Linked DNA regions of Xenopus tropicalis. The protein of the gene in region 1 purifies or fractionates together with the protein of each later gene. This does not show direct contact. Links are inferred from orthologs where the notes say so. Each region holds a gene or a part of one and is shown in the gene's direction. Other genes may lie near its edges. The genes, in order: parp1, top2a, ctnnb1, mta2, jun, top2b and aptx.

Region 1 (4,086 bases):
GTCTGTATGTCCTTTGTATTGATGGGAGGGGTCACTGGGGGAGGGGCCATTGGGAGTGTGGGAGGAGGGGGGGCCCAGAAAATCTTGTTGTGAGGGGCCCCGTGATTTCTGATGGCGGCCCTGCCCCCATATAAAGGCACAAGGCTGCAGGCTGAGTTATACAGGGAACTCTGAGTATCACTCATGTATTATAGGGGGTAATGTACCCCCTACTGTAAATGATAAGGATATTAGCAGTCACTGAGGGGTTCTGTGCCCATATAAAGGCACAAGGCTGCAGGCTGAGTTATACAGGGAACTCTGAGTATCACTCATGTATTATAAGGGATAATGTACCCCCTACTGTAAATGATAAGGATATTAGCAGTCACTGAGGGGTTCTGTGCCCCCCATATAAAGGCACAAGGCTGCAGGCTGAGTTATACAGGGAACTCTGAGTATCACTCATGTATTATAAGGGATAATGTACCCCCTACTGTAAATGATAAGGATATTAGCAGTCACTGAGGGGTTCTGTGCCCCCCATATAAAGGCACAAGGCTGCAGGCTGAGTTATACAGGGAACTCTGAGTATCACTCATGTATTATAAGGGATAATGTACCCCCTACTGTAAATGATAAGGATATTAGCAGTCACTGAGGGGTTCTGTGCCCATATAAAGGCACAAGGCTGCAGGCTGAGTTATACAGGGAACTCTGAGTATCACTCATGTATTATAAGGGATAATGTACCCCCTACTGTAAATGATAAGGATATTAGCAGTCACTGAGGGGTTCTGTGCCCCCCATATAAAGGCACAAGGCTGCAGGCTGAGTTATACAGGGAACTCTGAGTATCACTCATGTGCTATAAGGGATAATGTACCCCCTACTGTAAATGATAAGGATATTAGCAGTCACTGAGGGGTTCTGTGCCCCCCATATAAAGGCACAAGGCTGCAGGCTGAGTTATACAGGGAACTCTGAGTATCACTCATGTATTATAAGGGATAATGTACCCCCTACTGTAAATGATAAGGATATTAGCAGTCACTGAGGGGTTCTGTGCCCATATAGTCACAAGACACAAATCTGACGCCTTGTTATTATCCTTACATAATACTTTGCCTCACACAGACACACATTCCTCACACAAACAAACATTCCTCACAATTCTCACACAGACACACAGATAAGCTAGGGAAAGTGACGTCACTAAGTGTGCTGGGGCCACGCCCTCCCTGCCCAGACATGGGCAATGGATTGCCGTTCCCCGGATGCCAGGAAGCAAAGCGGCCCAGACGCGCACTCTGGCGGTGATTGCTTGTGCCTGTTCTGTTGTGTGGCGGGCTTGGGGCTGCACGCTGTTCCAGTGGGAGCCGGAGTGTCCCTGTGTGTAGGAGCCGCTCCTCCCTGCAGCCATGGCCGAGGCCTCGGAGAAACTTTATCGGGCTGAGTACGCCAAGAGCGGCCGCGCCTCCTGTAAGAAATGCGGAGACAACATCGCCAAGGAGTCCCTGCGGCTTGCCCTCATGGTGCAGGTAGGGGCCCGGCTGGGCTGCAGCATTATTGCCTATGGGGGGGCTAGTGTGGCTCATACAGTATGGGCCATTATTGCCTATGGGGGGGCTAGTGTGGCTCATACAGTATGGGCCATTATTGCCTATGGGGGGCTAGTGTGGCTCATACAGTATGGGCCATTATTGCCTATGGGGAGGCTAGTGTGGCTCATACAGCATGGGCCATTATTGCCTATGGGGAGGCTAGTGTGGCTCATACAGTATGGGCCATTATTGCCTATGGGGGGGCTAGTGTGGCTCATACAGTATGGGCCATTATTGCCTATGGGGGGGCTAGTGTGGCTCATACAGTATGGGCCATTATTGCCTATGGGGGGCTAGTGTGGCTCATACAGTATGGGCCATTATTGCCTATGGGGAGGCTAGTGTGGCTCATACAGCATGGGCCATTATTGCCTATGGGGGGGGCTAGTGTGGCTCATACAGTATGGGCCATTATTGCCTATGGGGGGCTAGTGTGGCTCATACAGTATGGGCCATTATTGCCTATGGGGAGGCTAGTGTGGCTCATACAGTATGGGCCATTATTGCCTATGGGGGGCTAGTGTGGCTCATACAGTATGGGCCATTATTGCCTATGGGGGGCTAGTGTGGCTCATACAGCATGGGCCATTATTGCCTATGGGGAGGCTAGTGTGGCTCATACAGTATGGGCCATTATTGCCTATGGGGAGGCTAGTGTGGCTCATACAGCATGGGCAGTTTGTAAGTTATTAGCCCTGGGCTAATTGCCCTAGTAATGGGGTATAGGAAAGTGCCCCCTCCAGCCCAGTGGGTTATTATTGTGAATACGGGTCCTAAGGTGGGGTGTCATGGAAGGTTATTGCCCCAGGTTAAGGTATGTTGTGAAAGCCAATGGATAACATGCTCTAGGTAAGTGCCCCAGCTGGGGTACTTTTGAGTTCAGGTATAGGGCAGTAATGAGTTGTAGGGGGGCTTGTTGCCCCTGAATGGGGACTGTTGTCAAACGGTAGGTTTGTGATGTATAGTAGGTAATTGCCCCAGTGATGGGCTGTTATTGCCCTGTGTTGGGGTATTCTGTTGGCAAGCCAGGGAAGTTAAGGGAAAGAACCAGGGCAAATTGTTGGTCTTTCTCCCAGAATGGGGTAACATGGTACCAATACTGGGAATAAGAAGGCGGATCCTATATACAGTTTGTTTCTGTATCTGCCCAAACCCCTCCCCCAGGGAGAAGCCAGGGCAATTCTGGATGTTTACACACCCACCGTAGAGCTGCACAGCAAGAGGAATATTTGCCCCGTGTTCCCAGAGGCTGCCATTGGCCTGTATTTACAAGACTTTACAGTGCCGGGGGCCCATTGTAAGGCTATATACATACCGAGCAGCTCAGAACCCAGGGGGGAGCCGGGGCAATTGTCTCTACTAGATAACAAAGGCTGGTGTCACACTGGGCACTTTATTAGCCCCTGTGGCTCTGCAGCACCCACCCCCTTCCTTCATGATTACTGTGCTGAACTGAGACTAACTAGGTAGTATCAGTAAGGGATTTCCAGCTGAGTCCTATCTACATACAAATATACGGAGAAGGAATGTTCTGGGCACACAAAATGATGCCCTCCATACTGTACTGTCTAAGGGAAACACTATGGCACCCCCTACCCATATGTATAAATACAAATATACAGAGAAGGAATGTTCTGGGCACACAATAAGCTGTACCCCCATACTGTACTGTCTAAGGGAAACACTATGGCACCCCCTACCCATATGTATAAATACAAATATACAGAGAAGGAATGTTCTGGGCACACAATAAGCTGTACCCCCATACTGTACTGTCTAAGGGAAACACTATGGCACCCCCTACCCATATGTATAAATACAAATATACAGAGAAGGAATGTTCTGGGCACGCAATAAGCTGTACCCCCATACTGGTCAGCCAGTGCCCCCCCACATACATGCCAGGTGATGGTGGGGAGACCAGACTAAAGTGATCTCATCTGATTGCATTGGATTTGATCAGCAGTGATGTACATACACTGAAGCACAGTTCTAGGCATCAGTCCAGATAAACAGTTTTGCTTTGGTCTTTATTCAAGACCCCCTCTTTCTCTGTGTATGGGAATTGTATCTATTTTGGCTGAAGTTAATGCACCCGAGTAAGAAAAATTCAGTAAGTGGCCTTGTGCTTTGTTTTGCAGTCTGGAACATCGAACTTTGCTTTTAATATACAGGGATGGGATCAGTTATCTGAAAACCCAGAAAGCTCCAAATTACGGAAAGACTATATCCCATACTCAATTTTATTCAAATAATTCAGATTTTTAAAATTGATTTCCGGTTTCTCCTTAATAATAAAACAGTACCTGTACTTGATCCCAACTAAGATATAATTACCCCTTATTGGGGCAGAACAGCCCTATTGGGTTTATTTAATGGTTAAATGATTCCCTTTTCTCTGTAATAATAAAACAGTACCTGTACTTGATCCCAACTAAGATATAATTACCCCTTATTGGGGGCAGAACAGTTCTATTGGGTTTATTTCTTGTGTTAGCAGGTT
Region 2 (3,500 bases), on another chromosome or scaffold:
TAAAAGCAGATATATGCAAACCTTTTTACTATTCTACAGGGTTTGATTAACTTGAAACCACACCCATGTTATCACATGACCATACCCATATTAATGGTTGTAGTACAGCAAAAACCTGCCATACTCTGCCTGCCCTACCCTGCCTGTGTGTGCCATACTTTCACTGTGTGTGCCATTCTTGGCTGGTTTGTGCCATACTTGGCCTGTGTGTGCCATACTCTGCCTTCCCTACCCTACCTGTGTGTGCCATACTCTGCTTGCCCTATGCTGCCCGTGTGTATGGCACACACAGGCAGCCTACAGTGACACAATGCTGGCACTGCTCCTACAGTCTGCACAATAAATATATATTAAAAAACTTTTTAATTGCAGTACCACCTCAGTATATGTTCTTTTTGTAGTATGCAGGGATTATTTGTGGGTTTCTACTGCTCCTGAGGTGTGAACAGGGGAACACAGTTTAATAGGTTCTTCTACATTACATCCCAGAGGCTGGTTATCTTCAAACTCAAAAGGCTCTAAAATCATTACAAAGATTTGGTTGTCTGAATAAAAGACCTTTCAAAAAGTCTTAAATGGCAAAGAACTAAAATAGTTCTTTAGAGTTGTTTTTCCATCTTAAGTGAATTTAGTTGTTTGGGTTTGACTAGGAACAAATGTGGCTTATTTGCCAATTCTAAGATGGTTAGATATTATGACCAGTAGTGGTCGGCAGATACAAGCCCATGAAATGTCAGCCTTATATAGCCATATGGTATGGTACCATAAATCTCTGCTACAGCATCATATCTTGGTGTGTGCTGGGCTTCCATTTTTTCTTGCTTTCCTGGATTATGGACCTGGCCAGTTTAGGGCGTTACACCACTGGCGACAGTCAGATACTATACTGGGGGTGCTTCCAAACATACATTACTGTCTCCAGAAACCAACCCTTCTTTAATTGTGACTTTCAGTGGTCGGATAACTCATCAGAGATGTTTGCTTGGGTTTTACTGCATAGCATTTACTTATTACTAAATATGGAGTTGCCTTGATGTTGGTTTGATAATATTTAAATACTTCCACCTTCTCTAGTGGTGAGTGTCACTATCTGGCATTTCCAATAAATGCTGTCATTTTGTTTTTAGAACGCAGAGCTTCAGGACCTGAAAAAGAAATCACCTTCTGACTTGTGGAAAGAAGACCTTTCTGCATTTGTTGAGGAGCTAGACGTAAGTAGTAACATCTATCCTTCCTTTGTCTATTTGGTATTTGTTGCTTTATATAAATTGCTGCGGTTCCAACAACAGGAGTTGTGTTCTTGCTTTGTGACAGCGTGTAGAAGCCAAAGAAAGGGAAGAACAGTCCGTAACAACAGGCAAAGTGGTTAAAGGAAAGAGTGGGAGACCGCAAGTAAAGAAAATGCAATTGCAGGAAATTATGCCATCTCCACATGGCAGGCGTGTTGTCCCTAAGGTCACAACAGCCATGAAAGCGGAAGCCACCAAAAAGATGAAAAAGAGAATTAAGGTAAACGAGCGTTTCTGTATAGATTTAGGTTTGCTTGGCTCAACAATAACTGGCCTTTTTGAGCATATGTATATATAGAATATGTATTGACTTTTGCATTTATAAAATGTACCCAAACATTTGCCATTTGTTAGGGTGAGGATGTTGCTAAGAAGATGGATTTCGAAGACGATGGTGAAGGAGACAGCTTAAATTCACCAGAACAAAGTCCAGAGAGCCTAACGCTTGCCGAAAGATTAAGCAAAAAAGTTAAAAAAGAGCCAGGTGTGTAAATGGTTTTTAATGAAAGCTTCTCTGTTTGCATGCTGGTGTTATGCTGCAATCTAACATTTCTATAACTGCTTTTACATAAAGGCGCAAAGGCTGTCAAAGACAAGAAGCAGGCAACGTTACCCTTCAAGCCAGTAAAAAAAGAGGCAAAGAGCACATTCCAGGATTCAGAGAGCGAGTCCGAGGAAGAAGTGGTGCCACGTGCTGCTCAGCCACGCCGCAATGTTGCAGGTGAGAAATGCTAGTAGCAAATTTACCTCTGCAGTCTGAACACAGTTGGGGTTTTATGAACATAGTGTTTAACATGGTGTTAGGGCTTCCCGACAAATGCCTCTGATGCAAGTACTGGTGCAAAAAGGGGGCCCTATAGAGGCCAGTGCTGGGGGTTTTTTTGTTTGTTTTTAGAGCTTCTTTATTGTTTCATTCATTCATTTACTGATAGTTGCCTAGGCCTGCTATGGAATGTGTTACCACATAAAAGGGTTCTGCTTGATAACAAATGTTTTTATTTGCTTCTAGCTAAAGTGAACTATATGTTGAGCTCTGATGAAGACGGTGAAGAAGAGGGAAGCGGCATAAAGATGCCTCAGGAGAAGAGTGACAGTGAATTCAGTGATTTCAACCCAAAATCTGATTCAGAAGATGAATCCTTTGTAGTTGCAAAGCCAGCCAAAAAGCCCAGAGCTGCGCCCAAGTGAGTACTCTCCCCTCCCTTTAGGTACAAATCAACTTAAGCCATTTCTTGGTGACAATTTTGTTTCCACCATTTAATGCTGCTTACTAAAAAAAGGATGTGATTGGAAACTACCTTACTGGCATCCTGATGGAAATTGGTAGCTTCTAAATGTTAGTATTATATAGACAACATGCATTTTTTCCCTGGCAACCAGGTAGAAACTTGAATGAGGGGGAGTGATTTAAAAAACTTATAAAAAGTAACAGAATTGCAAACATACAGAGTTGGTGACTACTGATTTAAAGGCTTTTTTTTCTGTAAGATTTGATGTTTTGTCTAAAATGGTTTAACTTATTTAACAGGAAAGCTAAAAAGATTGAAAGCCCAGAAAACTCTCCACAGAAAGACAAAGCAGGTATGTTTTATCAAGAATAGCTGCTTGGGATATTCACATAGTAATACATTACATATGGCAACGTGTTTTGGGGGTTTTATGAGCCCAGTACAAATGGGACCACAATGAAATAAAGGATCACACATGTATGTTTACCCCAGTTCAGCCATATGTTGGCTTGTTTTTCTGCTGCAATGAAACATGCTATATTCATAGATAACATAACACAACATATATTAACCATTCTGTATCCTGGCAGATCTGAGTTATGTCTTGGTATTAATGTGACTGGTTCTGTTGTATTTTTGTCTAGCTCCAGTAATTGCATTAGATGAAGATGAGGATACTCCCATAATGACCAGTGCTCCCAGCGCCCCTGCACCGGCTCCCAGTGCCAAAGTGTCAAGTGCTAAAGTGGCAGAGAAGAAACCTGCACCTAAAAAACGAGTCCAGAAACCGAAGACTGGTGAGAACTTCTGTTTTGCAATATATTAAACGTGGGCAATTTTTTTTGTTTAAGTATCTTAATATCCAAGTTTGGCCCACTACAGATCTTTACTGCGTTTGCCGTGACCTTGTGTATACAGAAGTATGCCGATGTAAAACACTTCATTTCTGGTGTTTGTATCACAGTAAATATAATAATAATAA
Region 3 (4,258 bases), on another chromosome or scaffold:
TCCTTTCATGGGTGTAGCCTGCTGACAGACATTACCTTCACCTCGTATTATGCAACCATCACCTATTCATTTTAGGCACCCATTCTAAAGACCAATGAAATTTCACTTTTTTTTTTTTTTTTTTTTTAAACATGGGTACCACAGGTTTATTCTTGATTAGGTATTATTGAACTACAAAAAGGCCCGGGGCTTTTAGCTGATCAAGGATGCTGCAAACCCTAACTGGATGGGGTACAGGCTGGACATCTTATACACTGAGAGCTGTTTAATGCAGGGCAAGTGTTATAAAGGAAACCACTGGCAATACTGTATGGCTTTGACCATTAAGTTGGAAAAAATACATCATTCATGGACTGTCCAGTCTACTATTCTGCTGCTGTTTAAATACAATCAATCTTGTGTAAACAGAAAGGTGGAAGTTGCAGTTCATCTTCAGCTGGAGTGCACAAGGTTTCACATCCCTGACAGATACACTAAAAATATCTCATAAACGTTTACACAATACACTTTGTCCATTCTGCTTTTATCTCTTATCTGCCCAGACGTGCCCTGTGACTTTGGAGGGGGCAGGGCAAATGTACCCTCTCCTCTAAGCTTTGGTTTAATATTGAGCTCTGTTGCAGCACTTCAATCGTGCAGGACTCGTGTTACAATTCCAACGAAAGAGTTAATACTTCCCCCTCCTTTCTTTGTCTCCAACTCTGCCCTCATCGGGCTCCACATTCCAAGCCTAGGAGGAAAAAAAACAGCTCCGGCCGCATTTCCTACTGAGGATCATTCCGCGTTTAAGTCCTCCAATCCGCACAATGAGCAGGAATGAATCTCATCTCCGCCCAAACTGTTCGTCGCTTCCAAAACCTGACACAAAAACTTTTTAATGCTTAATTCAGTAACACCCATGCCTGTGACAATTGCCACTATATCGCCATTAACTAACTTACGCTTCCGTACATACACAAACCATTAACAGTTGGGTGGCGAATTGCATCTTTAGGTTTACAAGAAACATTTATGCACCAGCTCTACTCGAACGTATCTGCATATTTCATGCGGAGCATATGATAGTATTACAATTGCCCTTTTAGTATTTTCCGCAGCTCTGTATACAACAACCTAGGGAGGGCATTTGCTTTGGGGAAGAACTATTTTTTATATTTCCTTCTGAATCACTCCGCCCACGCCCCGTTTATGAGACCTTTTCCTGCCGCCGAAGCCCGCGGAAGGATATTCACACGCGTATGTAATGCGACCCATATAAAACAAGGGTGTGCGGCGCCATTTTAAGCCTGTGTGTCGCGTTTCAAGCGAACGGGAGAGTAGTGCGTTTGTTCATGGCTGGGAACTGAAGGGGATCAGAAACATAAACGGGGAAAAGAAAATCAACGCTCTTGCCGCCATACCCCGTCCATCTTAAAGTGGGACACAATTCGGAACCTGCAGGGTCTGGAGGTGTGTAGGAGACGGCCAGTACCGGGCGAAACGCGGTGACGGCCGGAACCGGTGGACGTCGAGCCAACGGTAAGATACTGCAAATGTCTTTTTATTTTTTTTGTAGCTTCGGTGTCGCTATCGATTGTTACCGTACCTAGGAAGCTGCTTGGGGAGTGGTGGCATTTGTGGTTATGCAACAGCTGGGGAGCCACATGATGGAGGTTAACGTGGTCGGATCTGTTTGACTTGACTTGGCAGTGTGGTTAGTGCGTTTTTTTTATCTTTTAAGGATTGTGGGCAGGTACTGTACATGTCTGCGGTGTGGAACTTGCGGCCGCCTGGCCTCGTTGGGTAGAGCATTGTTTGGAGTTAAGGATCAGAAACAGGGCCGGAAGTTGGTTGTGTGTGTGTGCCTTTGTACTTGTCCCATAACTGTACTGCATAGTATTGTTGGTGTGTAGGGGGGTACCATACAGTCCTATTTAAGGAATCCCAATAGATACGTATCTAAACTACCCTTTCCATCTGCTTGTTGGCACCTTGTTTAAAAGCCGTCTTTGTGCGTCAGCGGGCTGGCCCTCTTTCCTTTGATTCTAGAACTTTTATAATGTGTGTTTTGGCATGGAGTGATGTGCTGAGTGCTTGCAGGTTCTACTGCTTTTGAGATGTGAGAACTAATGTGCAGGAATGGAGAATTCTATCCAGTGTATCAGATTCACGATGCGGGACATGTATAAATCCATACGTTGTTTTAGGGCAGCTTTGGGAATGTGTATATATTCCCCCTCCCTGAAACTCTCCCCTGTGTACTTAGTGTTTCAGTGATGGAGCTGTGAAATATGAGCCACTCTTGCAACTTTTTTTTTTCTATTCACTCCCTGTCTTGGCCTAGGGTGAGGCTCAGTCAAGCCAGGATATTCATCGCCCTTCCGCTTAGAATTAGTGTTTCCAGTGTTTTGTTGCAGCAGTAAGCTATAGTCATGGGCCCTACTATCCTATCGTTCCAGCTAATGTGTACAAGGTTTGGCTTCCTGTAAGAAACCTTGTACGTATTTGGGTTTAGATTTTAACTTGTGGGTGCCAAAACTTGTGATTTAATGCTAAGTTAAATGATCTATATTATAAATTAAGCAAATGTTACTGAAGTACAAACAATTGCCGCTTCCCATGGAGTAGGTAATGTGAGAGTAGCTCACTTGTGCCTTTCAGTGTGCAAATATGCAAACAAACACCCTCAAGCTGAAAAGTGTTTGTGGTGGAGCTTGGAGAAATTCAGGTTAGTGGGAGGTGGCATTAGGTGCTTTTTACTGGGATGAAATCTGCTCATGTGCTATAGTATTGGCTAACATGGCTTTAGTTGAGGTTTTGTTACATATCAAGGCTAGTCTCCAGGACATGGATTTTTCTTTCCCCCAACTCCATCTCCACCCTCTCCTGTCCTGAAAGTATGCAGGGTAGTGAATAGATTAGACTAGTCAGGAATGTGATCTTAAGAGAAAATGTGGTGCAGAAATTCCAGGCACTTAACACATTTCTAGCTGTTTTGTGCTGGGGCACGGCTCTTATTTGACAACTAACTAGACTAAATATCAACTTTAATACAGCTATGGCTTCCGATAAAAGCCACCTTCTCATGTTAAGCTATGGCAGTGTTTTGATTGTTTCTCAGTTGCAGCAGTCTGCGCACAAGTGGTGGTTTTGTTCCACCAGCTGCAGTAGGAAGGAAGGGCCTGCTGGCAATTCATGCATTGGGGCATTTGTGGCTTCCTCTCCAGTTAACAGTACAAATGTTTAGTGCAAGTATTGTAGCCGATGTGGTAGGGCAAATATTTGTAACTAGCCCGTTTTGGCACTAATGCAACTGCATGTTCAGAATGGTAGAGGATTTGTTTCCTTAAACAGTTCAGTAGGTGGGCAGTGTGCACTTTGCTCCCTCACCTGCCTTTGACATGGGAAGTATGTTTCCTTGATCTTGCAACTATCTTGAAAACATGCTGTTGCCCATTGGGAAATGGCCAATTGGACATGGGGGGGTCTTTCTGTTCACTGCTGCAAGAATCAAAGGTCCTAGTCGGTGACCTGTGTGCATTTCGGGTCGTAAGTCTACTTCCCCAGACAGTATCTCATGGAATTAGTATGTTCTTAATGTGTAGCATTTTTTTCTTAAGTTTCTTCTATGCTCCCAAGACAGGAAGGTTAATTGGCTCCTCCCCAGAGTGGGTGTATGGTAGGAACCATAGATCATGCTTCATTGGGGCAGGGAATGTTACTGTATAAGCTCTCTAGATTGCCATAGAACATGTTGGCTCTATATAAAGCATAATAGTGGTTTGTAGCTGCTAACTGGCAAAGACAGACACTTCATTGTTAACTGTGCGAGCAGCACTATCTGGTGTTAATAGGCCTTATGGAACAGTGCTTGCCTTTGCAGTGTCCTGGGAAATGACCAGTACAACTAACTATACTTTCTGTGTGAGCAGCAAAGTACTTCTATAAAAGCTGCATTAGTTTCCTTGCCAGGAAGTAAAAGTGCAGCTACCACTAAACATCAAATTTAAATGAAGCACTGTGGCGTGTACTAGCTGCTTTAAATGTTGTCCTTTTAGTCAAACTCCTGCAAAAAACTAGCCTTTGAAGTGTTAGCATGCAAATTCAATCCATGTGTGTTTGGGAGGAGCAGGGGTCTTTGGTTTGTAGGTTTGCCTTACTGCGTCAATGGCATATTACTTTACTGTTTAAGTAGGTAACTTTGTTCCATGTAAACTTAACATTATTGAAGCGATAGATGGACTTTCCCATGGGGTTTAAGTATGCTGTCATGTGTGTA
Region 4 (4,284 bases), on another chromosome or scaffold:
CCGATTCAGCGATGAAGGCAGATTTTGGTCAGGGGCCTTCTATGGCGCCGGATCAAAATCTTTTAACTGGCCCGATCGGCGAGTCGACCGATATCAGCAGCCTCCTGCGATATCGGTCTACTCGTCGACTTGCCATACACGCACCGAATATCGGACGAAACGAGGTTTCGTACGATATTATTGGTGCGTGTATGGCCAGCTTAAAATGGCAGGAAACCTCCAGGCCGTCCCATAGTAAGTGCTATAAAGTCTATTTTACAACCAATAGCTATCTATATGGACTTTCTTTAACCAAAACTACAAGGGATATCTAGAATAAGGACACTGGGGACTTTTTAACCAAAGTTAAAACAGCATTGCCTTTATCTCTCAACAGTAAACTTGCTATAGACGTTCTTTATATAGTGATCCCTACATACTTGGGTATCCAAACAATCCGCCAACATCCGATTGCCCATCTAGACAGTACATGGCCATGTAATGAATTTCTTATGGAATTACTGGAATGCTGTCTCTCCAATTATTATTTTAAATTTGAACTTTTATACTACCAATAAGTTAGTGATACAAGTATGGGCTCTAATGTAGCCCCTTCCTTTGCCAACTTATACACGGCTGATTTCAAACAATTATACTCACCCCTTACAAGGACAAAATCACAGAATGCAGTATTTCATTTATGAAACATGGAGCAAGCAGGAGCATGCACAGTTGAATCTAGTGCGGAATCACAACTCTACATACTCCTGCAGGGTCAGTGTTGGCGGAGAGACACAAAGAAGATCGAAGGGAGTGAAGATGGAGCCTGCAATCTGCGCTGTGCTGCATTTTTATTTCAGTTGTTCAGATAGGGACACTTTGTTATTAAATAGACTATGCAGGGTAGGAAAGGTGAGGAGGCAGATGGAGGTCAGTTGAGTGGGGCTTTTCTACCTAGGGGGTTTAGTTCTCCTTTAAAATCAGGCATCATGTGATTTGTTACATCCTGTAATAGCAAGAGCCTTTCAATCAATAAGCACCAATTATAAATGATGACATTACTGAGCAGCACCTTTATTGAATTATTCACACATTTTGTGTAATATATATTACACACACACATATATATATATATATATATATATATATATATATATATAATACACCGCATATTACAGAACGATTTGTATATTATATTCCATAAAGCTCAGATAGAGTAAACTTAAACCATAGGGACGTGTATGTCGTTACTCACTAAACCAGCATTTTACCAGTTATTAAAAGTAAGGGATACTAGCAGACCAACTCTGCCGCACATCACTTTAATGCGTCCACAACTACTTCCTCCTTCCGAGCGCGTTCTACTGACTGCAGCCTTTGTGCGTCGTTTACTTCGGAGAAGTTCGGGTTTTCCCGTCTCCCTCTTCGGAAGTCATCAGTTGATTCCGGAAGCACTCGTTTATGTCCGGATATAATTCTTTCAATCGAACGCTTTGTCCCTCCCCCGGAAGGCTGCTCGCTTCTTTATGCCGGAAGTTGCCCCTCTTTCTTCCCCTTCCTCTCCCCCCACAGGCCCCGGAAACGCGCGCAGATTCCCGAGTTATTGTGCGCGGGAGAGAGCAAGATGGCGGCTAATATGTACCGGGTGGGAGGTGAGAACTCACAGTAAAATCATTCTGAGCCGAAAGCATATCTGTAGAGCTTTATACTATGTAGTTAAACACACACTTTATCCGCTGTAGAGGGAGAGTCTATACCCATACATCATCTGTACAGAGTAGCGAGCACCGAATGCTGAATTAAAGTAAACGCTTTTTATTTACATGCAGAAATGTAGAATGATTATCTTTATCTTATTTCTGTGCATTGTGTGTCTTTAGTCTAATGCAGAAAATATATAATACACACATAATATATATATATATATATATGCACACATAGATCATAAATATATATATTTATATACATACACACACACACACACACAAATGTCAGTATGTAACCTAAATACTAAAATGCTGCTGTGCTGTTTCTGCAGTATTAAACTAGCCCGGTTACTCTTTACCTGACTCAATCACACTCAGCCTAGTTTAGTGGCCGGGGCTGTTAGGACCACCCCTTATGTACCCTGCCTGTTTGTCACTGTTCATAATATTGATCAATGGAAACTGCCCTGACTTTGTGCACTGGCTTCTGTGAGGTCTGTCTGTCTGTCACTGCTTGTGTGTGTAAGACAGGGAGCTTCCATGAGAATAACCCCTGCTGATCTTGCTCAGAGGGCTTCTGTGCCAAATTGCTTATCAGGTAGATGACCCTGTAACCAGGACTGTACTGCCAATCTATGGAATCTGGCAAATGCCAGAGGGGCTGCAGGTAGATTCTATAGGCAGTCAATATTTATTGGGCTTTTTGGGCCTCTGTCTACTTGAAAAGCCAGGGCCACTTTTGATTGTCAATCTTGACCTGACTGTAATCCACTGTTTCTGGGCCATGGCTGCCCAAGGACATGTTGAACTCTCATTATCCTGCAGCATATAACTATAACCTGTCTATCTTGAACACAATCAAAGCTGGTATTTACACAACTTTTTTATCCCCAAGTGTTAATTTTCTTTACACTTGTTTATACATATTTATATAGGATTTTTTACATTTTTTTGTTTGCATAAGAAATTTGTGGGTATTTACAATTTATTTTCTTAACTAACCTTTATTAACATTCCATAATCTGTGAAAGAGCCTTCTTATTAATGTAGTCTGATCATTTATCCTTTGTATCAGTTGTGGTGCCAGTAAAGCTTACAGTCTAATGTGATAGATTGCATTCACACAAGTGGATGAATTTCATCAGGTGTCGGTTAAAAAGAAGGGAAGTTCAAGCACCCCCCCTTCCCACAGTGATTACAGTTAGTTGCCTGGTACCCAGGGCCATTTCTCCCATTTGCTGAAAACTGCACTGGACTGGGGTATTTTTGTAGTGGCACCACAGGGCAATTCTCTTCCTCTTTGCTTTTTAAGCTGGGAGTGCAAGCGCAGTAAAGTGAAAAGCTGCAGGGCTGTGGAGTCGAGGAGTCGGAGGCAATTTTGGGTACCTGGAGTCAGTCGGCAAAAAATGAACCGACTCCTACTAAATTTAAATGGGAATAAAAAAAAAATAAAGCAAGTTTAAATGTCCCAATTCACAAACAGTCATAATTAATTACTTCTCTGCTATAAGAATAAAGCCCAATGCACGCAGTGCATAAACAAACACGTTGAGTGACCATGAAGCATGTTTTTCATTGACTGTATGAATGTATAAAATACATTAACATGTTAAAAACAGAGGAGTCGGAGTCGGAAGTATCAGAAACTGAGGAGTCGGAGAATTTATCTACCGACTCCACAGCCCTGAAAAGCTGAACTAAAAACAAAAGTCCAGCCTTTTCATTCTACACCACCGTCTCCTTTAATAAGCCTACATGTTTTTGTAACGTGGAATTAAACTGCAGTATAATAATAACAAAGGTGTATTGGATTCATAGGAAGCAGTATGTTAAGCTTATATGTGATGCCTACTGAAATATGTTTTATATGTTTCAGGACAGTAAAGAAATTTGCCTGCTCAAAGTACCTATGTTAACATATGTTAAGTCCCTATAGTTACATTTTTTTTTTTTAGTAGCCCACCCAAAAAATAGTAACGGTCTATGGCATCTTACAGCAGCCCCTCTGGCATTTGCCAGACTCCACAGATCGCCAGTGCGGGCCTCATAGCAACTAATTAGATGTTTGTTTTTAAAGAGCTGGCCAGTAAACACTACTTGCCGATTGATTAATAGATGTGGGCTAGCTTAAAGGAACAGTAACACCAAAAAATGAAAGTGTATAAAAGTAACTAAAATATAATGTGCTGCTGCCCTGCACTGGTAAAAGTTGTGTGTTTACTTCAGAAAGTCTACTATAATTTATATAAATAAGCAGCTGTGTAGCCATGGGGGCAGCCATTCAAAGGAGAAAAGGCACAGGTTACATTGCAGATAACAGATAAGCTCTGTAGAATACAATAGTGTTTTATTTGTTATCTGCTGTTATCTGCTATGTAACCTGTGCCTTTTCTCCTTTTTTCCAGCTTGAATGGCTGCCCCCGTGGCTACACAGCAGCTTATTATATAAATTATAGTAGTGTTACTGTAGCAAACACACCAGTTTTACCAGTGCAGGGCAACAGTGCATTATATTTTTATTACCTTAAAGCTCTTTAATTTTTTAGGGTTACTGTTCCTTTAAATAGGTGATTCACCTTCAAGTTGACTTTTAGTATGT
Region 5 (3,815 bases), on another chromosome or scaffold:
TAAAAGCCAGTCTCCGTTCTCATGGATGCAACCTGATCTCCTGTAAACTTTTTAAGCCTCCCCAGCGCTCCCCCTACCTCCTTCACCCTGCTTCCAATCATCCTTTTTTTACTTTCATCAACGCCCACATCATAATCTACACACCCACCCACCAATAAACTCCCTCCCCCACCAAATTAAAAAAAAAAAAAAAAAAAAAAAAAAAAAAAAAAAAACTTTCCCTCACCTTTTCTCCCTGGCTATCCACCCCAGTGCAGAAAGGCATGATCATTAGAATGTAGCACATGCCTACACAACACTGGGACCCTTTTAATAACAATGATGCTATACAGCCTTACATGTTCTCTGTCACTGACACTGGTGTATCTATGCAATGTTGCGATCCTCAAGCTCTTGTTGAACTCCTAGTCACATACAGCCCCACCCCCACACACGGACCCGCAATGGCCGGAGGGCTGCAACTTGGTCTCCCCCGTGTCCTACACAAAGTAAAACAGCGAAGAGAACAATAACTATAAAGCCAGTAAAACTATACCACACTAATAACATTCTACCGAAAATAACCAGTTGTTTCAAAACTACAACTCCCAGCAACCACTACCACATTTTAGTTCGGCAACTAACAAACAACATATTGAAAAACCTGCCATACTGATCGCTTAAACCTGTGGAAATAATCTGTTTCAACTCTGAGTTTTCAGTTTCACCAGCCGACAAACACAGCCCAAGTCCTCCGGTTCCTTATGTGACAGACAACCATTACAACCATATCGCGCTTTGCTAGGAAAGGGATGAGTCTCCTCCGCGGCTTACGACTACCATACAATTGCCTCAAGCCCCTGTCCAGTACCAGGGGGTGAGCGGAACAGCCCTTATGGCGGGAAACCCACGTCAAACTACCATCCCAACTACCAAAGCAAGGAACGGGCACCGCCAACAACAATACGTCAGCCCACAATGCCCAGCGGCAAAGGAGCATTACCTCATCCCATGAGCCTTCGCGAGAGTTAGAATCTTCTAGGGCGGTCGTCATAGCGACCGAGGCTCATTTGGCCTCGCTGGCCCGCCTCCCTTCCCAAGGCTCAACCAATAGCAGGACGTTGGGGTGACATCATGTCTATTTTTAGTGGGTGACCGCTCGCAGATAAGTGTTAGCTGCACGCTGTCCCACAGCCCAGTACAAGTGAGTAGAGCTCACACTGACAGCACTTGTGGCGCTTGGGGAGAAGGAACGTCTAACTTCTCAGTGACTTCTTCCTTGTGTCCGTGTGCCTGACACCTATACTGGGCACACGCACACACCCAGCGCTCGCCATTACATATCTCCGGCGGCGCTTTGGAAACTTTCCCGGGAGTTTATAAGAACTTTTGTGGCGTTCGGAGTACGAGGACCTCTTTGCTGCTAGAGACACAAAGTAAGTCGCATTTATTTCTGTTATGTGCCAGGCTGGGAGCAGTTGTGCTTGAACTCTCACTACGGGACACTGCCAGTTGTAGTTCGGCAGGCGAAGCATAAGTTCCATTTAGAAGAGGGGTGGAGGTGCCATGGGGTTCGGTGTGTCAGCTAACAACCTGTTCGCTCTTCTCTCTAGGCTGGTGCTGGTGTCACACTAACGTAAGGTCCAGTCATCGTCCCTGTCCGGCATCCGTTCTATGACTGCAAGGATGGAACCTACTTTCTACGAAGATGCCCTGAGTGCTGCTTTCGCCCAGCACGATGCTACTCCCTATGGTTACAACAAGGTGCTGAAGCAAAGCATGACCCTGAACCTGTCGGACCCCAGCAGCGCCATCAAACCTCACCTGAGAAACAAGGCAGCTGAACTGCTCACCTCCCCTGATGTTGGGCTTCTCAAGCTCGCCTCCCCGGAGTTGGAGAGGCTTATCATCCAGTCCAGCAATGGCATGATTACCACCACCCCGACCCCCACCCAGTTCCTGTGCCCCAAGAATGTCACAGACGAGCAAGAAGGCTTTGCAGAGGGGTTTGTTAGGGCACTGGCAGAACTCCACCATCAAAACAACTTGCCAAGTGTAACCACTGCCACCCAACCTGCCAGCACGGGACTGACACCTGTATCTACTATTGCTGGAAACACTGGCTTCAACAATAGTCTTCACAACGAGCCCCCTGTGTATGCCAATCTAAGTAACTTTAACCCAAGTACCATCACCACATCATCGCCTTTTAACAGCAACACCATGGGGTATACCGGCCAACATCAGAGTAACCCACCAATACCCGTGCAGCACCCCAGGTTACAGGCTCTGAAAGAGGAACCACAGACTGTACCTGAAATGCCTGGGGAGACTCCTCCACTGTCCCCTATTGACATGGAGTCCCAGGAAAGGATAAAGGCTGAAAGGAAGCGTATGAGGAATAGAATCGCAGCATCTAAATGCAGAAAAAGGAAACTGGAGAGGATTTCCAGGTTGGAAGACAAAGTTAAAAACTTAAAATCCCAGAACTCTGAACTGGCATCCACTGCCAACATGCTTAGAGAGCAAGTAGCCCAGCTCAAACAAAAAGTCATGAATCATGTCAACAGTGGGTGTCAGCTAATGTTAACACAGCAGATGCAAACATTCTGAAAAGGCTTCTTTGGGAAAGAGATGTGAGAATTATTTTGTGGAGGGAAATAGTTTCATGTTGAAACTCCCTGGCTCAAAATGAAAGGCACTGAGACCTGACTGTTCTACGTGCGTGTGCGGGGAGTCCTGACAAGCCTTTAGGTGGAGCCTGTGGCAATGCAACAAGCAGTATCACTTGTCAAGTGCTGTTCCTGCTCTAATGAAACATCAGATACATGTTTAACATTGACCAAGACCTGCATGGACCTAACATTCGATGATCATTCAGTATTAAGAAAAGGTTAAACTGCTAGAGACACTAGATTGCTTCCGTAGTTTTCTTACAAAGGGAGGGTGTGGGAGGGAGGCATACGGGACATTGAAAAGTAAAATTAATGACAAATCTGCCTGCCTTCTACATAACTGTGTATGTGTACATATTTGTTTTTTTTATTATAATATTAAGAAAAACTGAATTATTTCAGTAAAATTGCTTCAAGCATTTGTAAGTTATTTTTATGTTTGGGTTAATAAACCCACTACTTTCTGTAAATAAGAGATATTGAGCACTCTTGAGTTTACCATTTGTAATAAAGTATAATAATTTTCTATGTTTTTGTTTCTAAGGACAATTCCAGACGTTCAATTATATTTAAGATATTAAATAAAAGATGTGGAAATTAGATTTTTTTATTTATATTGATATTTTTTTTTACACTGCAATAAACGTGCATGTTAAACTATCTCCTGTGTATAGTACTTGATATATTGCATGAGTCTATTCAAGGGTATTATATTTTGACAATTATTTGATATGGGTATTGGGCAATATAAAAGTAAAAGCAGAAAAGAACATACTGACCAATATTTTCTTTATATCATAGCACTTGGGGTTATTTATATATGCTATTATAAAGTTCTGGGCTTTTGGCAAGAGTTTGCTGCTGTTATTATATGTTTGAGGGGTTAGGAATGGTTTACAGTATTCTCCAGCCTTATTGGCTAAATAATCATTTCCAAATTGTGCACCACAAATACCAACTGGTTGCCAGCCCTCTTCAATTTTACAAATTGATAAATAGTTGCTTTTCCTAAGTTTATTGAAAAAAGAAAAGTGTAACAAATTGATATAGTAGTAGTAACTAAAGTAGCTACTGATGAGAATATACCAACTAATTTATTAAACTGTAGCATTTTAGAGTCCTTGTTTCTTAAGGTGCTACTGGGAAACACAAGAGGTGTGA
Region 6 (3,500 bases), on another chromosome or scaffold:
AGAACAATGCGTAAACAAGCAGGGCCAGCTCATCAAAATGTGGCATAAAGTGAAAAGGAAAGGCTGAGGGCCCCAATCTCATAGAACAGCGCTAAAAATTTTAAACCAGTAATATCATTACAGAAATTGATTTACAACACATCAATCCCAAACATTAACCACTCTGACATGACAGTAACCACTGTTAGACTGGCACACTAGAGGCCCACCACAGGTTCCCTAATTAAATATGAAAAACCACCAGTCAGATTAAAAAATATTAGCTCAGGATTTTAAGCAGAATTTAAATAGTAACTACTGATCAGGTACAGCACAGACAGATTTTACACAACCGCACAACCTGAAATTTTAGCCAAAGTATATACATTTAATGCAAAATGAGAGGACCTTAAAACTAACTAGTCAAAAGAGCTGCTTTCATCCCACCTCCTAAGCTTAACCTGTCAGCTCCAAAATTTATTTAGGCAAAGAACGCTTACTTTTTTTTTATCAAGAGGGAGCTTGCTAACACTCCCACTGCATCCCTGGTTACGTTTCTCTAGGACAGCTGATAAAATAAATAGTGCAGTGCAGAGCTAAGTGCATTACTTCCGGCAGCCCTTATGGTCATCCTTCATTTCCATATGAGCGCTGCTCCTTCCCTGCTCTGTCAGCCTCCAGTGACGCTGTTGCCGACACTCTGCAATTTATTGCCAAACAGATTAGCTGGGGCCTGTTAAGAACAGAGCACTTATCCAAACTAAGAGTTGGACATGCGGTGCACATTCTACACAGAGTATGCTGAGTTCAGAGTTGCGTGTGGTTCAACTAGGTAAGCCAGTGGGCCAGTCCGACCCTGGCAGGGGGTTACACAAACGGGGTCTGGAGGGAACCATGTCACCCGACTCGAGTATAAGCCGAGGGTGACTTTTTCAGCACATTTTGGGTGCTGAAAAACTCTGCTTATACTCGAGTATATACGGTAATTATTCTTCTTTGCAGTTTCTTCTCCCTCATGCACAGGTTTTATACTTACTTCTGTTCTTTATTTTATTGCAGAGAGTGGAAGCTCAAGAAAAAGAAGATGTCTTAGCAGGGTTTGCAGGCAAAGCAATAAAAGGCAAAATTGGAAAACCCAAAATGAAGAAATTACAGCTTGAGGAGACTTTGCCATCTCTTTACGGCAGAAGAGTAGAGCCACAAATCAGTGCAATGAAAGCAGATGCCAGCAAAAAGATGCTAAAGAAAAAGAAGGTGAGGCTACTTGCTAACAGGATTACCTTGCAGTGGCTGTATCTTTGGGACTCATATTTTTGTGTTAAAAATAAATAAGGTACAAGATTTTGTAACAGACTTGCTATACAAAATATAGCAACGTATGGGCCAGCAAATAAGTTACATCATATCTGGGCCTCACTGAATACATATTTTCCATTAAACTAATGACTATTGACTGTTGTATACTCCTCCTTTACATGCTACATGCTGTGAGTCTGTTTTTAAGGCTGTTGTCTCCATGTATTCTTTATTAGTGCCCTGTGTGGATAGAAGGCCACAGACGAGGGAGTGTTGCCTGGTGTATATTTTCCCCTGATGTGCAGTTCTTGCTTAAACAGGCTAGGGTTTTGTGTCTGACAGCTGAGAAATGTCTCTGTTAGCCATTAATGGATTAGCATTACACAATACAAAAATATTGTTTGTAGCAATAATACTTTTTCTAGTGACTGAAACAGATTTTATAACACCTTGGTTCTAAAGTATGTAAAACCCCAGCATGTTTCTCCTATGTATTTCACAGGTTTCAAGCCTCTTTGTTTCTGTAGAATGTTTCACAGTTTTTTGCCCAAAGTAAACTGCACATATTTAGATATCGCTGTGCACATGTTCAGCTTCCTGACATGCAGGACATTGCAATTGTCTCCTGCTGAAATACACCACACACCTGCACCAAAGTGTCTCTGCTGCCAAAATAATCTGTCTCAGCATTTCTTTGTTCTAGAGAATTCACTGTTGTATTTTACAAATTGTTTTAAGGGTGAAATTGACTCTATTGCACTGAAAATGGAATTTGATGAGGAGTTTAGCTCGGCACCAGCAGAGGGAGGAGCTGAAGATTCCATGAATACCACTCCTGTAAAACCTGTAAAGCCCAAGAGAGAAAGAAAAGAACCAGGTAGGTGCCTGAGCACATGGGTCCATTCCTGGAAGTCCAAACATTTTGAGTGAATATAACTTTTTTAAAATAAATTTAAATGATATTGGTGTTTGGTTTTCCAGAATTTGTAAGACTTCTAACCCAATACACCTGTATATAAAGTTATTAGTGTTAACTTTCTAGCCCTGTTTAACAGTTAAGCACTGAATATTGCATTTTCATAGAGGGAATTAATAGTCAAAGCTTTCACACGTCAACTCCCATATCTGTGAAGTAATTCAGAATTACAAAGAACATAGATGATTATTTATATTCACAAGTAATATTGTTTCATGTTTTACATCTCATAGAAAGATTGGTTGAGTTTTGTAGCAAGTGAACCATGTAACTTCCTGGTTTTTAACTGAAGCCCAGTAGTTTTAGTTAAGGAGATTGCCAGACATAGCAGCCATATTTTTGTACTCCAGGCTGCAGTTGTTGTTGCTACACATTGGTGTTTTAACATGATCTAGCTTTTGTTTAAGGTTTACTGTCAGTCTGGCTTTTAGGCAGACATTGGCATTATACATTTTTACTAAAGTCCTATAAACGAGGCGGTCTTATAAAGAGGATTACTATAAAAGTTTATTTCCTAGCACAGCACTTTTTCAGCTAACTTAAAATAGGATCTGCAGTGTTCCCTATCCTTCATAGAGAGAGAGAGAGAGACTCTCCTTTTTTGCTGAATGGAAAACAGGTGCATATTAACTATATACCAGTGGTCAGTAAAATGAAATACAGTGAGTTGTAGTTTTCCGAATATACTTTGATTTGCTCATAGTGACTTTTTTTTTATTTGAGGTCCTCGAGCCAAAAAGACTGTATTAACACCCAAGTCATCAACCAAGAAAGGGAAGAAGCGAAACCCTTGGTCAGACAATGAGTCAAAATCAGACAGTGACCTGGAAGAAGCTGAGGCAGAGCCTGTGGTCATTCCTCGGGACTCTCTCCTAAGGAGAGCAGCTGGTATGTATCATGGAAATATGGGGGCACATCTCTGCAACACAATATTGCTTTCCAGGATATTTAAATTTATACCATTTTTTATAATCTTGAGGGGGTGATTTGTTAACAGTCAAGTATGAATTTTTTTAGCGTAAAAAATCTAATTCAAGTTATGGTTCGAAAACTTATTTTATCGTATTAAGTGCAAAAAAACCTGAAAACTCGAATATAAAAATTCACCATCTAAAAGCTTGTGAGTTTCTAACCAAGACAACTGGAGTTGTCGTAGGCAAAGTCAAGCAATATTCTCAAACTTGAAGTTTTTGAGTTTTTAGAGCTCAAAAACTAGAAAAATATGAGAGATTTGAGTTTTCTATTTCCT
Region 7 (4,168 bases), on another chromosome or scaffold:
CTAGTTTATATAAACAAAGCTGCTGTGTAGCCATGGGGGCAGCCATTCAAAGAAGAAAAGGCACAGGTTACATAGCAGATAACCGATAAGCTCTGTAAAATATAATGGAGCATTATTTGTTATCTGCTAAGTACCCTGTGCCTTTTTCCCCCCAATCTGAATGGCTGCCCCCATGGCTACACAGCAGCTTATTTATATAAACTATAGTAGGAAATCTGTAGCAAACATGCCAGTTTTACCAGTGCAAGGCAACAGTACATTTTAATTACTTTAAAAGGCTAACATTTTTTGGCATTACTGTTCCTTTAAGTAAATGTGTAAATTGTATAATGAATATGTGGAATAGGTAACAGTCTCTCTGCAACATGTAGGAAGTTGAATTGCATTGATCATCATAAATAATCATAAGTTAAATAATCATAATCATAAATAAAAGAAAAAAATAAACCAACAAAATATGACACCAGCACTACTGTTAAACTACAGAAATCCTGGTAATACACTTTGGGACAACGTGCATAGAAATAGTTAATTCTCACAAAGTGGTCAGACTTCTGAAGGATGCCATGGGTTTTGTACCGCTAAAACCTATGCATTATGATGTATTTCATGTGTGGATACACTTATGCAATTCTCTTAGCAACACAATTAGAGGTGGGTCACTTTTCAGGCATTCATTGCCTAGAAACACTAAAACCCGGTATTGATCCAAAACTGAGCCCCAGGGAGCCTTCAATCAGGAGAAAAGAGCAATGAAACACTGACCCCAGTCAAATGACCAACACTGCCAAGTCACGTGACAAGAGAATAGCCAACATCAGGCACCTAGCTCAGTACCTCCTCGCCGACCAAAGACGAACCCACATAACCTCGGACCGACAAATGTGATATCATAACCCAAAGGAATTTAAAAAAATCATAGCCAGGCGTACTATTCATTAGGGAAAAACGTTAGAGTTCAATTCTAACCTGCAAAAAATATAGTCAATAACCGCTTACATCCAAAACTCGCTCATATAAAAGCAACGACTACGTTTGAGACAGAAAACACGGCACGTGTTCCATTTAGCTGGGATAAAAAAAACAACAAAATCAACAATAAATAAATGTATTAATGCCTTCATACCCACGATAATGCACTGTATATTCAAGGTGGCTAGCGGTCTTCTCCGTCTAACAGCTTCTAGAAGGATCGAGGGAACAAGAGTCACATCCGGGAATCTTATGTAAAAGGAAAGAGAAGGGGGTGGTGAGACCACGATGACGCCTAGAGTCCGGAACCGGCAAATACTCAGGCTCCAATCCAACTGCGCGTTAGTGAGGGCGGGAACGTGCTGCCAATCGTGCCTGATGCGGTTCACTGCAGCACGCCTTGCGTTCCAACCGCTACGTGGCACTGAAATCAGTTGAATTGATTGACGACCACGTGAATTCTAAGAATTGGTATGGTTAAACACCACGAAAAACGCCTAATGATTTTTTTTACACTCACATACGTGGTGTTTTATCAGCCTTTTAAAATACGTGTCTGTCATATTAATGGCCGACAGAGATTTGCGTCCACTTGTATTCCGTAGGTCATAGTATATGCAGGCTCCGCCTTGTAGTGTATAGCTGTTGATGTTTCGTGTGTACCCACGCTAGGTAAGATTGTACATACATATATTTATACAAATTTGCGTCTTTGGAATTGTCTTAAGGGACAGCTTCCCTACCGAATAGCTGCAAGGCTTCACAGAAACGTGATAACTTTACAACATATAGCCATGCCGTTTAAAGAGCGAAGTTGTCATCTCATCAGAAGGGATGCTGCTTCTTTGTGACTGCAATAGACAATTCCAAGTTGCCCAGGGTCCAATATTGTAATCAGAAAACATGGGTCAAAGGCAATTTTTCATTACAAACAAGTACATTTATTACATGCCGAATACCCATGCTTTAAGCTTATCATATGAGCAGGACTACAAGGAGAAAACCAAGTGGAAATTGGTGGGCATAATTTACGGTTAATAGGGCTTGCAGGACATGAGTACAAGCAGCCAGCCTTGTATGTTGGTTGTCAACAATGGTTCTGTGGTTCTTGCTCCCTTTAAAAAGTTTATTGTAAGGTGCATTCATACATGGTTATCATAGCATTTCATCAGCCTTTCTATTCCCTTTATCAGCTTGTTCCCTCTTCTTTGAACTCTATCAATAAGGCTCTAGAGACCAAAACTGCTGCATATTTAAAGGAACAGTAACACCAAAAAATGAAAGTGTATAAAAGTAACTAAAATATAATGTGCTGCTGCCCTGCACTGGTAAAAGTTGTGTGTTTACTTCAGAAAGTCTACTATAATTTATATAAATAAGCTGCTATGCAGCTATGGAGGCAGCCATTCAAAGGAGAAAAGGCACAGGCACATAGCAGATAACAGATAAAACACTATTGTACTCTACAGAACTTATCTGTTATCTGCTATGTAACCTGTGCTTTTTCTCCCAGCTTGAATGGCTGCCCCCGTGGCTACACAGCAGCTTATTATATAAATTATAGTAGTGTTACTGTAGCAAACACACAACTTTTACCAATGCAGGGCAACAGTGCATTATATTTTTATTACTTTAAAGCTCTTTCATTTTTTGGAGTTACTGTTCCTTTAAGGCCCTACTGGTGCCTTAAAGTGGACATGTCACACAGACATAAAAAGCTGTATAATAAAAGCCCCTTTCAAATTAAACATGTAACCCAAAGTCATTTTTTTATTAACACATCTATACCCATTATACAAGCAAGTCCCAGCTGTCAATTAAATATTTCCTGACCGCCTCTATGCCTAAGGCATAGAGGTGGGGCAGACAGTTAATTTCACTTTCAATTCAGAACTTCTTAGATGTTGCTGCTCTCCTCACATTCCCCCTCCCTCCTCACCATCTAATTTTGTAACCAGTGCATGTACATGGGTATCGGGTCCCCCCATACTGGCACAGAAACAAGATTTTGGCAGGATGCACAGCTTGCTTTAATAACAGTGTCCACAAAATGGAGCTTGCCTGTTTTCTGCAATGGTGAATTCCAAGGCTGAAGGAAATAGGTTTCAAAAAATGTATATAGTGTAATTGAAGTTTATTTTGCTTGACAAACACAATAGAAAACAATTTGTAATTATTTCTTAGGGTGACAGGTCCCCTTTAAAAAGAGGGAGAGTATCATGCAAATCTATACCCCTTTTTAATATAGCTCAAAATCTTCCCCCTACCATTTAACCCTTCCGAATGCTAATTAGCATATATGAATTTATGCTAATTCGGTTCGGCCGGGACTGTGGATTCTGCCAAAACTGAATCCTTCAAAAAAAAAAAAAAAGGCTATATTCGGCCAGAATCCTGAACGGAATCCAGGATTCAGTGCATCCCTAGTCATTTGCAAACACTGATAAATTTCTTTCAATACCCACCCCAAGTTATTAATGAATAAATAAAAAAGGACCCAATACAGAACCCTGTGGAGAACCCTACTTCATTCAGAGAATGTACGATTTACAACCATCCCCTGTACACAATTCTTTATTTCTGCTAAAACAATTAAGCAAGAAATTCAGGGAATTTTGAGTCAAATTTAAAGATGTTGTTTACCTTTAAATTTTCTTTTAATATGACATAGACAATGATATTTTAAGACAGTTTGCAGTTGGTTTTTATTTTTTTTGTGGTTTTTCAGTTATTTTTTGTTCCTCGGCTCTCCAGTTTGGAATTTCAGCAGCTGTCTGGTTGCTAGAGCCTTGTTTACCTTAGCAACCAGGCAGTGGTTTGTGAGACTGGAGAGGGACTGAAGAGAAAGATAAGTAATACAAAGAAACAATAACAATAAAATGGTAACCTCAGAAATCAATACTGGTTTAGGGCTGTGTCACACGGGGAGACTAGTCGCCCTCGACTAATCTCCCCAAAATGCCATCCCTCCGGTCGGTGAAAATGTAAATTGCCGGTGGGATGGCATAAATGCCTTTAAGAAAAATTATAAATAGCATGCAAAGACAGTGTTACGGTAGATGTAAATAAGGTTTAATTTCTGGTGTCAGTATCTCTTTAAAGGTGAACCATGCCTTTAAGATCTCTGTTTTGTTCTCTTGCTACAGGTATCGGACCCCTTATCCGGAAACCCGTTATCCAGAAAGCTCCGAATTAC

Evidence for each region.
Region 2: the proteins of parp1 (region 1) and top2a purify together in Homo sapiens (co-immunoprecipitation; 3 studies listed by BioGRID and IntAct, with this or other methods). This does not show direct contact. The link is inferred for Xenopus tropicalis from reciprocal best matches to the Homo sapiens genes PARP1 and TOP2A.
Region 3: the proteins of parp1 (region 1) and ctnnb1 purify together in Homo sapiens (affinity purification with mass spectrometry; 4 studies listed by BioGRID, with this or other methods). This does not show direct contact. The link is inferred for Xenopus tropicalis from reciprocal best matches to the Homo sapiens genes PARP1 and CTNNB1.
Region 4: the proteins of parp1 (region 1) and mta2 purify together in Homo sapiens (affinity purification with mass spectrometry; 3 studies listed by BioGRID and IntAct, with this or other methods). This does not show direct contact. The link is inferred for Xenopus tropicalis from reciprocal best matches to the Homo sapiens genes PARP1 and MTA2.
Region 5: the proteins of parp1 (region 1) and jun purify together in Homo sapiens (co-immunoprecipitation; 3 studies listed by BioGRID and IntAct, with this or other methods). This does not show direct contact. The link is inferred for Xenopus tropicalis from reciprocal best matches to the Homo sapiens genes PARP1 and JUN.
Region 6: the proteins of parp1 (region 1) and top2b purify together in Homo sapiens (affinity purification with western blotting; 3 studies listed by BioGRID and IntAct, with this or other methods). This does not show direct contact. The link is inferred for Xenopus tropicalis from reciprocal best matches to the Homo sapiens genes PARP1 and TOP2B.
Region 7: the proteins of parp1 (region 1) and aptx purify together in Homo sapiens (co-immunoprecipitation; 3 studies listed by BioGRID and IntAct, with this or other methods). This does not show direct contact. The link is inferred for Xenopus tropicalis from reciprocal best matches to the Homo sapiens genes PARP1 and APTX.

Annotation. Positions count from the first base shown.
Region 1 is NC_030681.2:7,987,611-7,991,696, forward strand, and holds the start of parp1 (poly [ADP-ribose] polymerase 1), read left to right. Parts: upstream 1-1,286; 5' UTR 1,287-1,400; coding exon 1,401-1,520; intron 1,521-4,086. UniProt on the Homo sapiens protein: Poly-ADP-ribosyltransferase that mediates poly-ADP-ribosylation of proteins and plays a key role in DNA repair.
Region 2 is NC_030686.2:8,636,589-8,640,088, forward strand, and holds part of top2a (DNA topoisomerase 2-alpha), read left to right. Parts: intron 1-1,127; coding exon 1,128-1,211; intron 1,212-1,314; coding exon 1,315-1,509; intron 1,510-1,643; coding exon 1,644-1,773; intron 1,774-1,863; coding exon 1,864-2,010; intron 2,011-2,298; coding exon 2,299-2,473; intron 2,474-2,817; coding exon 2,818-2,870; intron 2,871-3,162; coding exon 3,163-3,315; intron 3,316-3,500. UniProt on the Homo sapiens protein: Key decatenating enzyme that alters DNA topology by binding to two double-stranded DNA molecules, generating a double-stranded break in one of the strands, passing the intact strand through the broken strand, and religating the broken strand.
Region 3 is NC_030682.2:53,356,337-53,360,594, forward strand, and holds the start of ctnnb1 (catenin beta-1), read left to right. Parts: upstream 1-1,458; 5' UTR 1,459-1,518; intron 1,519-4,258. UniProt on the Homo sapiens protein: Key downstream component of the canonical Wnt signaling pathway.
Region 4 is NC_030680.2:36,848,645-36,852,928, reverse strand, and holds the start of mta2 (metastasis-associated protein MTA2), read left to right. Parts: upstream 1-1,484; 5' UTR 1,485-1,603; coding exon 1,604-1,631; intron 1,632-4,284. UniProt on the Homo sapiens protein: May function as a transcriptional coregulator. Acts as a component of the histone deacetylase NuRD complex which participates in the remodeling of chromatin.
Region 5 is NC_030680.2:86,738,694-86,742,508, forward strand, and holds jun (transcription factor AP-1), read left to right. Parts: upstream 1-1,148; 5' UTR 1,149-1,653; coding exon 1,654-2,592; 3' UTR 2,593-3,315; downstream 3,316-3,815. UniProt on the Homo sapiens protein: Transcription factor that recognizes and binds to the AP-1 consensus motif 5'-TGA[GC]TCA-3'.
Region 6 is NC_030682.2:47,634,985-47,638,484, reverse strand, and holds part of top2b (DNA topoisomerase 2-beta), read left to right. Parts: intron 1-1,038; coding exon 1,039-1,233; intron 1,234-2,013; coding exon 2,014-2,152; intron 2,153-2,974; coding exon 2,975-3,139; intron 3,140-3,500. UniProt on the Homo sapiens protein: Key decatenating enzyme that alters DNA topology by binding to two double-stranded DNA molecules, generating a double-stranded break in one of the strands, passing the intact strand through the broken strand, and religating the broken strand.
Region 7 is NC_030677.2:94,453,522-94,457,689, forward strand, and holds the start of aptx (aprataxin), read left to right. Parts: upstream 1-1,368; 5' UTR 1,369-1,443; intron 1,444-1,452; exon of another isoform or gene 1,453-1,644; intron 1,645-4,168. UniProt on the Homo sapiens protein: DNA-binding protein involved in single-strand DNA break repair, double-strand DNA break repair and base excision repair.